2 linked regions of the Caenorhabditis elegans genome follow. The protein of the gene in region 1 interacts with the protein of each later gene in a biochemical or structural test. Each region holds a gene or a part of one and is shown in the gene's direction. Other genes may lie near its edges.

Region 1 (4,113 bases):
CTCCGTATTTTTTCATTAGTTAGACATAGTTTATGCTTTCACCTACGTTAGCGCTCAATATATAAATATCCCTTTATCCCTCTGTTAATTCAAATACTTCCTGATCCCTCCGAAATTTCAAAATGAAAGGGGTTTCAAGCTACTTGCTTTTTTCGGATTCTCTTAATGAGTTTGAATGTACTTTAAAAAACCAATGCTTTCATGAGTAGGATATAAATTAGCAACTAACTTTCCCGGGACCTCCTACACTTTGTTGCTCAAGTACGTCCCGCCCATAAGCTGTTCGTGGCTCCCCATCTCCGGACCCAATAATTGCCCTCATAACGTGTTCGTTTCTCCTTTGTTATCTGAATCTTCTTCGCGTTTTTCCTTTTCTTTTTTTCCCTACTTTTTGCTCTTCACTTCTGTTTCTTCAATGTTTTTATTTGGGGGCTTCAAGTATTAATGATCACGTCTGAACCAGGTAGTGTTGCAAAAATTCTTGATAATTACTTTTTCTTGTTCCTTTTCATTTTATAGTCTAGCCTTTCCAAATAGGTCAATTGAATTCTCTAGCAGAAAGATACTGGGGAAAAAATAAAAGATCAGGTAATTTTAATCATGTCATACCTACGTGCCTACCTATACCTTTTTGAATAAATGTTGGAACATTAAAGGTTCAACTATCAAATTAGAAAAAAAAGTACATCTTGTTTACTTCAACAATAAACAAGACGCAATGGTAGGCTCTTCAGTTTACAATCTAAAATTTTCCGAACCTTTTTCAAGTGTCTGCGAATTTCTGTGAATTTCAAAGAATTTCGTGGAAAATGTCACAGAACGGATTTTTATGAAAATTTTCGGAGAAATGCGAATTCCTCAATTTTTGTAGGACCAAAAATAACTCGGATTCTCAGTACCCACCTGTTTTTGAAAGCACGTCTGAGCCATAGGCAACGCCAAATATCTGAAGCCTGAGTCTAAACCAAGCCTAAGCCCAAACCTAAAATCAGAATCCAGGATCTGATGACAAAGAATCGTGCACTAATTTCAGGAATATGTCCCACCCCCACGGAAGTGCATTATGATGAGATGAATCTATATGAATTATTAAAGTTGTTTGGAGAGTGTGTGTGGTGAAGCTGTCAGTTAGCAGGCTTTATTTTGTTTGCGATCCATCTTTTCCTATCTGGAAAATTTGATGAAGTTGTGAGCATTTCAAGAACATGGGGTTCCCCGAAGAGGAACAATTGTGCCCCTGTTTCCAGTTGCCACCAAATGAACAGCTGAGCAATATTCATCAATTAGCTCAATTTCCTCCCTCCATTTTCTTATTTTTTCTTCAGTTTTCTTGGACATCTCTATTTTTACGTTCTGTATTCTATAGGATGCTAGTATTTTAAATATGTTTTATATGGCGTGGTGCACAGGTGTTGTGCGCACCTTCTATTTCTACATTAGGTGCCTCAGCAAAATGTAAGCCTAGGCTGCCTAGAAAGAAGGTTTTAAAAGTATTAGAGTGCTATGACGTCATGCGTATCTTAGAAAATAATATTTCCCTTATTGTCTGTGTTCTTCCTTGCATTCACTGTTCCTCTACGCACCTTGAACTTTTGCATTTTCAGCTCATAAATGCACAATTGACCAACAAACATCTTCAACTTCCACTAAACTCTCACAAAAACAATGTTGCTACTACTCTCCCGGGTTCTGGTGAACGTGATGGTGCTGATGTGCTTTGGTGGAATTCTCACGAACTTCATCTCATTCTACATCTACACTCGTAAAACATTCCGGAAAAAGAGCATAAACGTCTTGCTCGCAGCCTTGTCAATGTCTGACCTTTGCGTCTGCGTTCTTGCAATTCCAGTTTTTGCAAGTACTCAACTTCAACAAGTCATTCCGCCAACAATTACTGCAATGATCATGGTGTACTTGTATCCAGTGACCATAATGTTCCAGTCAGTGTCAGTATGGTTGCTGGTATCCATAACAATTGACAGATACTTAGCCGTATGTCATCCATTCATGGTCAATACGTATTGTACAAGGAATCGCGCTCTCATAACTGTTGGAGTTGTCGTGATATTCAGTGTTGCTTACAATTTGATTCGAATTTGGGAGTACACGATAAATTTCGATGTCGCTCCTGAGAATCGTACGATTGAAGATCTTGTTGTACCGAAGCTTCGAGCAAATCCGCACTTCTTATTGTGGTACCAGAATGTTGCCACGTTGGTGTCGCAATTCGCATTTCCACTTACAGTGTTATGTGTTCTCAACATTCAAGTAAGTTGGTTACAATGGGTTGAGGAGTAGGAGTAGGCCTTAGGCTCAGGCTTATGCTTAGATGTATGCTTAGGTTTAAGCTTAAACTTAGTCTTAGGCTTAATCTTAGATTTAGGTTTCGGCTTAGGCCTTGGCTTAAGCTTAGGCTGAGTCGTATGCTTAGGATTAGGCTGAGTATTAGGCTTAGGCTTACGTTTAGGCTTGGTCGTGTGCTTAGGCTGAGGATTAGTCATGGGTAGGGTCAGTATTACATCCTAGACTTAACTGAAGGTAGGACATTATTTTTATTTATTTAGATAAAGCATGTAATCCTAAAAACGATTAGTTTTAGTGTAACTGCCCAAATTTTCTAACAAAGCAATTTTCCAGGTAGCGCGAACAATTATCGAGGCATCCGAGCAACGAAGAGAACTAGTGGCAAGTGTGAAACGAGAACATTCGACTGCAAAAATGATGATAATGGTTGTTTTAGGTAAGATTCATTTTTTGGATATTCTAGAAATCGGATTTTTGCTCAGTGGTCGTGAAAATGAAAATACGGTCACACTCATAGACTGATAGAAGGGATTTGCGGTAAAAATTTGTTTTATTTTTTTCTACCTACCGCGAGGACAAACCCAATCTTAAAATTAGTCACTAGTTTTGAGAAACATTAAATTTTTTGGATAGCATTTGATGAAAAAATTATTTACATATCCCCAATACAATTTAGTATTAAAGTCAACAAAGTCATGAAGCTTTCAGTATTCCTCGTTTGCTACATCTTCTCATTTATTCTAAATATATGGGAAATTCTTGACAAGGAGACTTTTGGAGGAGATATTGGTTGGTTTATGAATGACATCAACAATGTACTTATTGTTGTCAACTCGACGAGTGCAATTGTTTTCTACTATAAATATTCAACAAGGTAACGAGACCTTTAATAAATAGAATATTAAATTTTTTGCCCATTTTAGGTTCCGAAATCAAGCACGGACACTTCCCGGGATACGGTGGTATGCTAGTATGTCAAAGTTCAATGTATATGATACAGAGGCAACATCAAATCGAACAATGGTCACTAGATACAAAGGTTTTTTAATTTGTAATAATATTATATCCTTACCCAATTCTTTTCAGAATCCATGATTTCAATAAGAGGCACGTCAACTCGCCTGAGCAGCTCTCACAATTTGCTCTACAAACCGAGCTACTCAAAGCCATGTGATATCTAGGAATTTGTCACAATTTATTGCCATAATCGAATTTTTGTTGTTAACGGGTTTTTAAGTGACATATCGTTTTCTTCTTTTTATCTAACAATTTTCACTGGTGTTTTTGAAAAATAAACTATCATATACTTATCATGGATTACGAAAAGAAAATCCCAGATTTTTTGAGATTTGTTTCTTAAAGTTAAAATACGTTTTCCAGGCGATGCCAAGTTTCGTTTTTCGATTTAGAATTGTATAAATACAATTTTTTCACTTTTTAAAAATAACTACTGGTTTAAAAACAGTACTGACAGAGAAACTAAAACTTTTTAAAAAATTATTATCCAGCTGTGAACTACTGAATTTTTCGCTTTAAAATATTGGTGCCCGTTCTCACCACGAACGTCACCTTTTCAAAAAAAAACTTTAAGAATTACAGTGATCCACTCTATAGAGGTGCACGGATTTATTCAGATGGGTCTCGGCGCGCTAAAAAGTTTATGGTAGTATGTTTTTTTTTTAATTTTTGCAGTTGCGTCCTCGTCCTCGTTTTTCCATTTATCAATTCAATTAATTTACTTAGTATGTCGAATTGTATCGTTAAAAAATTCGCTTAAAATGACGTAATTTCATTGAAAAATGGAAAAGC
Region 2 (3,151 bases), on another chromosome or scaffold:
GATACGAATTTATAACATTGTTATGCGATTTCTGTAGTTTTAACATCTTCATTCTAGATTCTAGACATGTTTTCAGTTTCCAGTCATAATTTCTATCGCGCTCTATCAAATTCAAGTTAACATCTTCATTGGTCACCGGAAAGACGACGGCCCGCCTAAGTTTTTATGACTAATTCGAAAAGTCGTTTCGGCTTGTGCCCTCCTACCATCATACTTCGCTTTTTGGGACTACTGGCAACAACGCCAGTGTTGAGGCGATATAGAACCCATCATTTTGAAGATCCGACAACGACCTTGTTTTTTATTTTTCCGACTTTTTCTTCTTCTATTTCGAACTTTTCAGCTTTTTTGAAATGGCAATAGCAACGAAAAACCCATTTTCATCACAATTATCTCGAACTTTTAGCAGATTACTTTTCCATTACCAGTCACTTTCAAAATTGGAAAATTCTTAGAAAATCAGAGGGTGACTATTCTGAAAACATTATTGTCTTTTGCCGACTATGCGCTACATCCGATTCATTTTTTGTGAGCTCTTTAAGTTATTGGTGTTCCCTCAATGTTATCAGTTACAAGACAAACCAGTAGTGTTAAAAAACGCCAGTTAACAGTTTTCAACAAAAATCACAAAATGTAACTTGTTTGAGAAAACTTGTAAAACGGAAAATACTCAATTTGTATTTAAATATATGATATTATGTATTAAAAATCATTTTAAGATAAACAGTTCCCATTATCTTATGAAAATTAGTAGATTAAATTCAAATTAGGCTTTCTTATATTTCTGGAAAGAAAGAGCTTCTGAAAGTGTTCTGAAAATCTTATGATTTGTTCAAACATCAAAGTAAACATACAAACAAAATACACATATTTGTGCTAATGTTCTAAATATGCAAACTTTAAAGTTAAAGACTAAAGTTGTTTGCCCACTCTAATGTCCATAAGAAATAATTCATACTTATTTTACTAGATTATGAGTTCTCCAAGGCAATTTTTGATCGTGTATGATTGGTGGCACTCTGAAGTTCTAATAATAAGATAAAGACAAAAGATAAGGTTTCTTCCTTTTTTAATAATCTTATGAAAAATTGTTTCTAGAACATCTCTGAAAGTATTTTATTAAATCAAATGACTGCTATAGCTGATCAATGAAAAAGTGCTCCCCGTCCAAACCGGAATATAAGTAGTTGTTTCGCATGGTTCAACTTCGGTACCCAACCTCATAAAACTAACTACTTCTTCACTTTGTCTCATTTTGGTGCATTTGAAAACGTTGAACTCGGACATGTATTGCCCATAGTTTAAATTTTTGAATAAGCTATTTTGAGATTTAAAACGTTATTTTGGCATTTTATTTCAATTTTTATTTAAGTATATTCTTGAGTTATTCATGCATTTCATTTTTGATCACTGAAACCCGATTCTGATTCAGATACAAAAACTGAATTTCGTGGGTTTCGTGATATTTCACGATTTGAAGATTTAAAGATTTTGAGATCAAACGGAGAAGACCCTAATATAGACTGCGATGAAACAAAATAACGTCACGGAATTCTTTTAAAATGAATGGAATCCGGAGCCCGCTTCCTTCATAGTTTCTGTTTTGCAACTCTCGTATCCTCCATCACCAGACAACAAAAATGCTTCATTTGAAATGAATTCGTGAACAGTTTTTTGTTTTTAGTTTAGAACTGCCGCTCCCTTCAGCTCCACCCTCCCATCAAATAGGTGTGCTCGATGTGCCTCGGGACATTGGATTTATTTTTGTATCCTTGCTCATTTTTCATATGCTTTATTCTTTGTCTACTCCGTGACATTTTTCAATAATGCTTTCATTGGAAGTTGCAGTGAAGTTTGAGTTCCATAGGTCCGATAAAATCATAATTAATGAGTTCTAGGAAGTGTTTTACAACATTTCAAATTCATAAATGTTCTCTCCCTCTTCGTGATTCATTTTTTGCATAATTACGCTTGATGATTTTTTGTTGTTATGTGGCTCAATATGTTGTATAAACCTTTTTTTCAGAAACTTTAGTGAGCAAATGTTGGGTTACACTCAATCTCGTGTGGTTATTACACTTCTACTGTTTTCTGTGTTTTTGGCTGTTTGTATGGCAACACCATCTGGTTATCCTGGTCAAGAGCTCCAGAACGGTAATCAGCTGATATTAATTTTCAAAATTTTGATTCCATTATTTTTCCAGTGTCAGATGACTACCCGATTTATGAAGAGGAAGGGTTGCAATTGTCTGCTGAAGGCACAGATGAACCACATGAGTAAGTTAAAATTACTTTTGACATTTTTTGCAAGCACGTTAACAGTTTTTTTTAAACATTACAGAGAAAAACGAGCTGTCTTTCGAATGGGAAAACGAGCAATGATGAGATTTGGGAAGCGTGCAATGATGAGATTTGGAAAACGTTCCGTTTTCCGACTTGGTTAATTTTTACGCCTACCATGATGACTTCCGGGCTTTAAATTTCTGATCTTCGATTAATAATAACATTGGTTTTCTTATTCGCAACGTTTTCCTTCCTCCTATTTGACCCCTATTCTAGAGATTATAACTTTCCTTCCCTATCTAATCGAACGATGTGCGTTTTTTTTAACGTTTGGAATAATAAATTGAAAGTGTGTTACTTGATTAATAAGACAACTAAGCAAAATGCCAAGTTTCAGGAAAGATCAAAACAAAATGCTCTTTAGATTTCATATCCTCTGCGGTCTAACCACTCATATGTTTGCCATTTCTATGTCTCATTAAATATTTGCAACTGACAAAATAATTATGATCTTCCGATAGCTTCATGACTGATTGTTTATCAATATGTACAGTTGAATACGTTGTCAAAGAAAAACAGTGATATACTTGACTAAGATGAATTTATGCATGTTTTTTTTTCAATAGACGTATTAGACGTATTAAAAGTAATCGTTTTGGCAATCGGTTGAAAAATTTTGCAACGTAATGATTCCTAATATATTTTTGAAACTATAGGGTATGCTAACGGGACTCGTACTTAGTGGCATAACTTTTAGTATTACACTGAAACTGTGGAGCTGGAACTGGATAATGAAAGGAAGGCAATCAAACATTTTCAGCGATTCTAGCTACTCGCATGTTTCTACCGCAATCTACAACATCTGGCC

Evidence for each region.
Region 2: the proteins of frpr-3 (region 1) and flp-20 interact in a test that uses a peptide from one of them, tested with the Caenorhabditis elegans proteins (one large-scale study listed by BioGRID).

The regions. Positions count from the first base shown.
Region 1 is NC_003283.11:7,769,663-7,773,775, forward strand, and holds frpr-3 (G-protein coupled receptors family 1 profile domain-containing protein), read left to right. Parts: upstream 1-1,598; 5' UTR 1,599-1,665; coding exon 1,666-2,268; intron 2,269-2,637; coding exon 2,638-2,740; intron 2,741-3,012; coding exon 3,013-3,178; intron 3,179-3,227; coding exon 3,228-3,343; intron 3,344-3,390; coding exon 3,391-3,485; 3' UTR 3,486-3,607; downstream 3,608-4,113.
Region 2 is NC_003284.9:9,348,764-9,351,914, reverse strand, and holds flp-20 (FMRF-Like Peptide), read left to right. Parts: upstream 1-2,020; 5' UTR 2,021-2,042; coding exon 2,043-2,154; intron 2,155-2,204; coding exon 2,205-2,277; intron 2,278-2,341; coding exon 2,342-2,444; 3' UTR 2,445-2,639; downstream 2,640-3,151.